2 linked regions of the Coturnix japonica genome follow. The protein of the gene in region 1 purifies or fractionates together with the protein of each later gene. This does not show direct contact. Links are inferred from orthologs where the notes say so. Each region holds a gene or a part of one and is shown on either strand. Other genes may lie near its edges.

Region 1 (4,795 bases):
CTTGTGCTTCTTCTTGGTGGCTGAAGACTTTTGAGGACAGGTTGGCCAGGTCTCACCCGGCCTCCCAGCACTTCTCAGGCTGGATCACAGCCCCCACCTAGTGGCAACCAAGCTGTAAGAGACACAGCCTCCCTGTCACAGAGCAGAACAGGCTGGACACCAGCAGCTCCCAGACAGGGTGCTGGGGAATGAATGGCACTTGGCTGAACACCGCTGAGCAGGTCCCTGCAGCCCAGGCTGCATGCCACATGTGCTGAGGAACAGGAATGAGAACAAAAGCACGCCTCTGGGTAACGCTGAGGATGCTTTAGCCCATGTCCCCTTTGTACTGCATGCACAGTAACATCAAGAGAGTAATGGACCATGCACTGAATACACGTGTCAGGTACAACATTCAGATGCATGTCCTATGACACTGCACACATCTGCTCTGCACAGATGCAAGAGCAGCCGTGGAGTGGGTTGCAGCTCTTAGAACACCATCATGCAAATCAGTTGTACCTGAGTGAGCCAAGATGGCCTGAGTACAACACAAAAGGCAAGAACAGGGCAGATCTCATCAAATTCAAGCCCTTGTGCTTAATATAAAGTATGCTGAAGGAACAGAAACAATCTACAAAGCAGCACACACATAGCAGTATCAAGTCAAAAAGAATGAGGAGAACGAATGGAAGGAACCACTGGATGTGTGAAATGCACGACCGAGAACAGACACCAACACTGCAGAGCTCAGTATCACAGACAAGGGGCTGTCTTAAAAGAATTCAAAGTACCTTATTTTAATTTCTTGACATGGTAAAAGTTTACATACTTTCATCTGGCAAGGAGAGCTCAACAAATTAAAATAAATCAATACAAAGAAACACAAGGGGGAGTGCTGCTCCAGGACAGCAGCTACAACGCAGTTGGTTTGTTACAGAATATTTATTAGCGGGAAGACTAAGAGTTGACTTACTACAAACAACAACAGAAGAGTCTACAGCAAGGGCTGGTGGCCCTCCACACTCTGGGGAAATCCCTAGGAAACCAGCAAGAGACAACATGGCTCTTAGAGGTGGAAGCAGAAAAAAAATAGTTTTAAAAAAAAAAAAAAAGGAGAGAAATTTCATTCCATTTGTCACTGTTGTTACAATGAAGTTAACACAACTATTAAGGCTACTGCACAATAAGAATATATGGGTGTAACAACAAGACCTGGGAAACAGTGAGGTTCCAGAAATAAATGATTTAACATTCCCTGAATATGGGACTTAAGTAGAAATATTATAAATAAAAAATTTGGAGCCTGCAGCATTATGGGATCACTTCCCACACACAAAAACTGACGCAACACAACCAATCATTTCCAAAGGGGTTTGTAATGGACCATGAAATGTTCCAGCAGCTTAGAGGAGTCAATAGGCACACAAGGGTGCTCTTTTGCAGGGGAAAGAATACAAGGTTTGCAACGGTACCAGGTAGGAATTGGCCATCCTCACCCCAAGCACTATTGTCACAGCTGGCCTGCTGCGCCTGGACAGCAGGAAGCACTGCCAGGAGAAAGCAGGTTGCAGTCTGACCACACATGGAAGCTATCAGGAGTTTAGCATCACACCTCTGGCTCCTCCTTTCTCAGCCTGGGCAAAAGCAGCTCATACCAAGGAGGCATGAAGACTCCCATGAAGTTGGTTTTAACCAAGAAAGTGGCTCTAGTCAATTTGCAGACTGGAGCAGAAGCCATATGCGCTCACAACCAGCCAGTACAGCAATCAGCCCTAGTGACAAGCACAACCTTCAGCTCTGCATTGACCCGCTCAGAACCAAGGCAGAGACAGATGGGCCACGCTCTACTGAGTCAAAAAAGCCACAAAACGATTACAGGCCTCTCAGTGGCACTGCAACGTGGCTGTGGCCACCAACCCAGAAGGGGCAGGATCCTCTGTCTTTGCAAATAAGTCAGTGCAGAGCATAGGCAGAGGGGCTCAGCTGCAGCCAGCAGTGAAGAGAGCTGGCTTTCAGCCACTGCACCACCATCCAGGCTTAGTCTTGAGCTGAAGATGGTCTGCCCCATTCACAGAGACCACAGAGAAGTCTCCAGCCAAGAGATGGGACAAGACAAGGGCCTGATCTCTACTGTAGCTCCTACTCAGGTAGGAAGAAAGGCATGAAGGAATGTTCCTGCCTGGCTGGCGCTCTGCTCTCACTCTGCAGTAGCCTCTAGGGCATCCCAAAGCAGCAAGGCCTTTTTCTTTACCAGATATACTAGAGGGAGGGAGAGCTCCTGAGACCTGAATAAAACCAATCACAAAACTAGGTGATAATTTCTTTAGATTTTAACTAAGAATGCAAAACTATTTCCAGCCAGTTTCCCATCTCGATAGTCATGTAACAAACCAAGGCAATGACGGTCTTTAGTTGACTGAACAGTTCTCAAGTTCAAACGTTGACACTTAATAAAGGGTCTCAGCATTGCTGCTCCGAGGCCTCTTGATCTTCTCAATGTTTTTAAGGATCATGTCATGCAAAGTGACCTGCAAAAAGGGAGAACACAACTCAGAAATGAAGGGGGGATGTCACTTAGCATTCAGGTTTCACAACCACTGACTTGAACAGTTTCACAGCTCATCCTGGTACTACTTTCAACCCCTGCCTGCAATCACATTTCTGCTTAAAATAAGTGCTTTCTTCCGCAACACTTTAGAGAAGCTAATGTGTGCAATACAAAAAAGAGAAGACATCAAAAGAATGGTCTGTACTGCCTGAAGAATTTAGGATTGCAGCAGCGCTCCTAGAGCAGTGTACTGAATATTTTGCACTCAGCTCCCATGAATACTCAAGTTGGAAACATCCACATCTCTGGGAGATGGTGGGGAGCCAATAAACACTTAGCTCTTGTTAGAGCCAAAGCAGACTGGGGAAAAGATAGGCTTCTCTCCAGGACTAGCTGTAATCATAGGGAAAGAGGAGAGCAGTAGAAGGATCAAAAGGACTCTTTCTATTATGTGGGGAGCCAGTGAGAGCTCTGTTTTTTCACTTACATATTGATTCCTCAGCTCTGAAATGATCAGGCGCAGACTAATATACTCCTTCTCATCAATCTCTGTCACTGTGCGCCGGTAGTCCTCCTGCAGAAAACAGATGCATGGCTAAGAGGCCTGAGCTCAGGTGTGCTTGATACATGGTATCAACTGAAGGTCCTACCTTTTACAAAGGAATCCCCCCTTTCAGTTTCCTCTTCTCTAATGAAGATATTCTGCATATTCTTATATAGCCCCCCCTTTTCCCACAGGGCCCCTAGCTCAAAATTAAGACAGTGATGAAGTAGCCTGAAGAGTCCCAGAAAGCAACAGCATGTAAACTGTAAAGCACCACTTCCCCATTTACTTACCACATGAGGGTATTTAGCTATTTTGGAAACCAACTTGGCTCTTGTGATATAATATCTGTTAGGAAAATGGAGACTACAAATCAGACAAACAGTACCAAGATTCTTCCAGGCACAATCTGCCCCAGCAAAGCTGGAGGACCTTCCCCAAAAGGTTCCTTTTCCCAGCAGCACTCCCAGAAAGGGCTCTGTTCCTTCATACCTAGAAATCTGGTCCAGATAGGATGCTGCCTCACTCTCCACAGTTCGAAGTTCAGCAACTGTTTCCTCCTGCAAAGGAAGCCTTTTCATGATACTGAAACTGCCCATCGCCGCTCTAGAAGTACCAGGTCGTAGCAGTTCCATGTCAAGCTTAGATTTGGATCTTAAAACCTAAACCAACTCCACCACTGCAGACATTGGATACCATCAAATGATTTGGAAGAAACCTAAAGGTACATGCTCTTGGGGGCATAGTTCCCTGCCACAGTAGGGCATACAGCCTGTCAGTGGTTTACAGGCTGGTTCAGCCCGGTTCCGTAACTAGCAGGGCAGCAGTACACACAGACCCACACCCTGGGAAAGGGAAAAGGGAAAAAAGGGGAGAAGGGTAGAGAGATGGGCCTTAAAAGAAAACAGCAACAGTCTGATGAGAAACAAACTAATTTACTACATCAGATATCAAAATGCAAGATAACACACTATAATACAAGACCACAACATAGCCAACAATATCTTACCTGAATAGAAACACCAAAGTTGTTTCCATCTTCTATCCTGGGAATTAGAAGTTGCACCCACATTTTGACCTGCAATAGAAAGATCACTATATAGATCACTGTCAAGATTTTTACAGGATTCATACCACTGTCATTTATAAAATACAGAGGAACCTGCTCCTTTTCTCAGAGAACCTTCACACAAGCAAAGGAGCAAAAGTATTCTAGTGCCCCCATCTGCTCCAGAACTCAGGGCTGTGGCCCACACCCACCGTATTACACTTCTCGATAAGCAGCCTGATCTCTGGTTTCACTTTCTCAATGATGTCCACCAGCTGCTGGTTGCTCTTCAGCATCCCATTGGGCATCACAAATACTTTGGTACCTACAGTGGCAAAGAAGACAAATACATCAGCCCCACGTGGGAACAGGTACACCAGAAGATCAGACCAAATGTCCACCTGAGCATTATGTCTCCTACAAAGGCTAGCAGTGGACACTGAGCCAGGATACAGCTAACCTGTGAGGAAGGGGGAAATTGGGCATGGGATAGCCATGATTGCCACAGAGGAAAGAAGACAGAAAATACAGAGCTTAGATGAGAACTGGAGAGCTCCAGCCTGCTGAGCCTAGGTACAAGGATTTTCCTGACACACGTGTAAGAAATGATTCTGCCTCAGCTTAATCCAAAGCTTGAGGTCTTCCTCCAGATGTAAAAAGCTTTTAGAACTGA
Region 2 (4,460 bases), on another chromosome or scaffold:
CACACGACACAGGGGCGGCTCCAGCTCAGCAGAGTCAGCCCCTGCTGTCGGCTCCTGTCGGGATGTGGCGGCTGCTGGGCGGCAAGGTGAGAACTGGCTTCAACACACCCCCTGTCAAATCTCCACTGTGATGTATGTAAAGTATCTTGTATGTTACAAAAGGATTTTAAAAAGTGTCTTAAGGCCTGTAAACTCCGCTCTTTGGTCTGAAGATGGCATTCTGTAAAGAGACCGCTGTATGAATACGTTCCCGTGCTTTTTTCCCTATGCTATCAAACAACAAACCATATCTGTTCTGTATGTAATAAATGTGTTAACATCAGAAAGCGTCAGTATGTCTTGTTCCTGGAAAGGCCACCGGGGCTTCTGTGCAGCCTTTAGCAACATGGTGACACTTAAAGTGGTGAGAATGGCACCCAGTCAGCAGAAATGAGATGTGTGTTCCTTACTGTTTGACCAGGAAGGGCTGGTCCTGCCAGCCACGTGCCCAGCGCACAGCGAGGCTTCCCTTGGTGCTGGAAATAAAGGACAGATGCTTTGGCCCACAGCTGTTCTTGGGGAGTCCCCTCCAGCTGCAAGGTGTAAATCCACCAGTGATATTCTGATGCTCACCCTGTATCGTAAAGGCTAAAATTGGACCCCAACAAACCATCATGCGGATCTCCACGCACTGAATAAATAAATCACCCACCAAAGAACAAATTGTCTTAGAATTATGCTGTGGAAACATGAAATCATTTATTTTGGGTCTGTAAAATAACGTCACGTTTAACTCAGTTGTTCCTCCATGATTTAGGACTGACTTTAACTACATGAGAAACCTTCGATTTTTCAAGCTGCAAATGAAACTGCTCCCAAGCAGCGGAGCTGTGTGAAGGAGCTCTGAGTTCAGAGAACATACAGTGGATCTGACTGAGACCAAAGAGGGGAAAAAAATGAAAATCCAAATGCATCTGCACCTTCCCTTTCAGATGAGATTACAGTACAGTCCAGGGGAGGAAACGAGGTCAGTTGGATGCACTGTACCACTGTAGGTACCAAGGGGGTCTGCAGTAACGTCATGTACTGCCACTGTGAAACGAGAGCACGTGGGAAGCTCGGGACACAGAGCAGGACCTTAATGGACCTCACAACACTGTCCCTGTGGCGTCTTTCTTTGCAGCATTAACACGGGAAGGCCTCTGCACATCAAGCATTGGCTCCTCTGTGATTTCTTTCCCCTCTTTCTGCCACTGAGCAATGATCATGGCTCGGAGCAGAGGTGGGTATGGAAGGAACCAACACGTCTCCTCTGGCACCGGGGTGAACTTCTTGAAGGCCTCCTCCTCGTGCTTGGGCACCATCCGCCAGTCGTGATACATGACCTTGTCAATCTCTCTGTCTTCTTCTTCAGTTTTACCTGATAAAAGACAATGAACATTAGTGGGCAACGCTCAGCAGCTCCAGAAACTGCAGCAAGTGTCAACTCCTGTACGAAGATATTGAAGAAAGAAATGGCAAAGGAAAATTCCAACAGAGCCCCTGGTAGCAAAGGAAAATTCCAACAGAGCCCCTGGTACCATCAGTGCTGCGCTATGGGATCCCACTGCAGACCTTGGGATCTGACCAGGAACAGACTGAAAAGTCACAGACCAGCAGCTCCACATTGTGCAGAGGTCATGACTTGTAATGCAAGGAGCAGCTTGTCCTCTGTATTAGTTTCCATGGTAAACAATAAGAGCATCTCCACGCTATGAAGTTTAATGACAGAAATGCTCAACAACTTTAAAACCTTTGAATGAGAAACGTTTCAAAAGCTCTAATAAACGGGACTTATAAACACAATGTAAAGTGGGTTGGGAAATGGACACTTCACACATTCAGCTCCATGAGTTACTTTACAGTCTCATCCAGGAGCCCCCAATGCTGCTCCGATTCCTTTCCCTGCCCATCCCCGTGTGCTCAGCTCACACTTTACATCCATCCCAGGTCCGGAATCAGCCCCTCACCCCAACCCGCAGCTCAGCCCGAGCTCAGCGTTGCGGTTCCCCATTAACGTCCGTTACAGCCGCTCGGCTCGTGCCGTGACTCCTCACCTCTGAACGTGAGCCGCCCCCAGGCCCTGCCGTGATCCATCCCCTGCAATGAAGTTGCTCGTTCATTCCGGTGCCGTCACACGGCGGTTCCCGCTCCCCGCCCCGTTACCTGAGCCGTGTAGTCGGCGCGGACCTTGGTGATGACCCAGTAGCTGGGCTCGTCGTGCGCCCACAGCCACGACTTACGGGTGACCATGCGGCCCAACCCGAACAGCGGCAGCCGGCACAGCAACGAGAATAAACGCTGCTCGTGCCGCACATCGCGCCAGGCCAACACCGGGAGCCGCTTCTGCGTCAGCGGCCGCCTCATGGTCTCGTAGTCCAGAGCGAAGCGCTGCGAGTCCCGCGGCCGCTCCTTCATGGCGCGGTACTCGCGCACCTTCCGGGCCATGGCGGCGATCGGCCGGTGCAGCTTCTTACGGCCCATGGCGCCACAACCCGACCCCGCCGCTACCGGCACTTCCGGCGCCCTCCGGAAGCCGCTTCAGGCCCCGCCCCCGGAAGTGGCCCCGCCCGGTTCCCGTCCGCCTCCACCCGCCGCTTCCGGCGCCCCCCGGAAGTCCGCCCCGCCCCAGGGCCCCGTACCGGAAGCGGGTCCCGCCCCGCCCGCAGGGCGCGGAGCTGCCGGTGGGGGCGGGTTGTTACGGGCGGGATCAGAACAACAACAACAACAACATGGCGCCGTGTCCATGGCGACCGGTACCGGGCAGCGACGGGCGGGAGGAGCCGGGCACAGCCACGGGAAACGGCTCCACGTGTCTGTACCGACAACAGCCGCTGCCCGCGGGGCGGCACCGGGAGAACGTGGCTGCTTGAATTAACGAGTGGAGTGCTCAACGTGAACCGGCCGTCAGGGCGAGCAGCCGGGAACCAAAGCACCATCCGGCCCCGATGGCGGCCTGTCCGTGCTGTCGGTGTCCCGGTGTCCCGGTGCTGTCCCGTCCCATGTCCCGGTCCCGCCGTTCCCCTCGCTCCCACCCCCCGGTTGCAGCCGCTGACAGCCCTCCCGCCCACGTGACCGCTACCGTCCAATCACCGTCTCCGCCGCCCCCGCCCCTCGTGGTGCTGTGCTGTCCCGTGGTGCATTGCGCGGTGTCGGTAAGATGGCGGCCGTGAGTCTGAGGCTCGGAGACCTGGTGTGGTGAGTTCAGTGCGCTGCGCTGCGGGCGGAGCGCGGTCCGATCCGATCCGATCCGGTCCGGTCCGGTCCGATGGAGTGAAGCTCCTCCGCGGTGCCCGATGGAGCGGCACGGAGGCTCCGCTCGGAGCAGCGGGCGGGGCTCGGTGGGGCTGCGCCCGGTTCGGCCGAGCGCGGCGGTGGGGCCCGGCCGGGCGGTGCCAGGCGAGGCCGCGCTGCACCGGGAGGGGCGGGATCCGGTGGGTCCCGGCGGGTTCCGTGGTCGCCGAGTGTCTCCGTTCCTGTGACGCCGCCCGCGGGGATGGCGGAGCTGATGGCGGAGCTGCTGCCGGGCTCGGGCCCAGCGCGTCCAGGGGAGCGGACACGGCGCGGGGCGACGTGCGGGACCGAGGGGCGGCAACGGGACCGGATGGAAACGGGGCATCAGCCCGGGAGGGAGCGGAGGAAAAGGAGCGAGTGACGGAACAGCGGCGATTTGGGAACCGCAGGCAGCGCAATAACACGGGAAAGAGGCTCTTTGTTTGTCTTGCAGGTCAGGATGGGTTGGGATGTGTTAGGGTGTGATGTGCTCATTGACGCTCACTGACGCTCCGTCCCTTTGTCACTCCAGTTTCCCCCCAATACTCGCAGTGCTTTTGTATTTCCCGATCGGGAGCACTGAGGGGATTCCTTCGGCTCCGCTGCAGCAGCCGGGTTAGGGCTCCGTGCTGGGGCCTGCAACAAGTGGCTCATCCCCACACGCAGCTTTGTGTGTTTCCCTCGGGTCAGAAGGAAGGTTTGCTCCTGGCTGCGGGACAGCTGCAGCTTCTCATCTGAATAGCTGACAGTGCTGTGAAGCTGTTAAATACATGTATAAGAAAGTAAATCAATCTTCCTTCCTGCTCCGTTTGCTTCAAACAGGCATTTGGGCAGCACTGCTCTTGGTGTTGGAATGCAGATCATCCTGCTTTAGTTTTGTATGTGATGGCCTGGGCAGCTGCCAGCCCCGGGACCATTGCAGCAGATCTATAGCACCGAGACAATAACATATGAAAAGCTTTTAAGTATCTTGTTTAGCACAGGGATGGAAACATCGGGTATGAGCTGTGAGCTTGGTTAAAGTTCTTGGCAGTAGCTCTGCCTGATCAGTGCTACAGAATCTTCTGTACCATTCCCATCAGGAGGGGCTGCGCTGCCTCTCGTTGGGAGCTTTATTGCTCGGGAGTTGGCAGACTCTGTGGATTCTCTCTTGCGAGGCACCAACCAAA

What was found. Proteins that work in one complex are often made in the same cells at the same time.
Region 2: the proteins of PSME3 (region 1) and MRPS34 purify together in Homo sapiens (co-immunoprecipitation; 3 studies listed by BioGRID and IntAct, counting the BioPlex papers as one, with this or other methods). This does not show direct contact. The link is inferred for Coturnix japonica from reciprocal best matches to the Homo sapiens genes PSME3 and MRPS34.

What each region holds. Positions count from the first base shown.
Region 1 is NC_029542.1:4,666,465-4,671,259, reverse strand, and holds the end of PSME3 (proteasome activator complex subunit 3), read right to left. Parts: intron 4,448-4,795; coding exon 4,335-4,447; intron 4,153-4,334; coding exon 4,084-4,152; intron 3,635-4,083; coding exon 3,567-3,634; intron 3,423-3,566; coding exon 3,368-3,422; intron 3,105-3,367; coding exon 3,018-3,104; intron 2,511-3,017; coding exon 2,430-2,510; 3' UTR 755-2,429; downstream 1-754. UniProt on the Homo sapiens protein: Subunit of the 11S REG-gamma (also called PA28-gamma) proteasome regulator, a doughnut-shaped homoheptamer which associates with the proteasome. 11S REG-gamma activates the trypsin-like catalytic subunit of the proteasome but inhibits the chymotrypsin-like and postglutamyl-preferring (PGPH) subunits.
Region 2 is NC_029529.1:12,398,280-12,402,739, forward strand, and holds MRPS34 (28S ribosomal protein S34, mitochondrial), read right to left. Parts: upstream 2,564-4,460; 5' UTR 2,503-2,563; coding exon 2,185-2,502; intron 2,119-2,184; coding exon 2,076-2,118; intron 1,400-2,075; coding exon 1,128-1,399; 3' UTR 714-1,127; downstream 1-713. Other genes in the region: putative oxidoreductase GLYR1, read left to right, coding at 3,179-3,216. UniProt on the Homo sapiens protein: Required for mitochondrial translation, plays a role in maintaining the stability of the small ribosomal subunit and the 12S rRNA that are required for mitoribosome formation.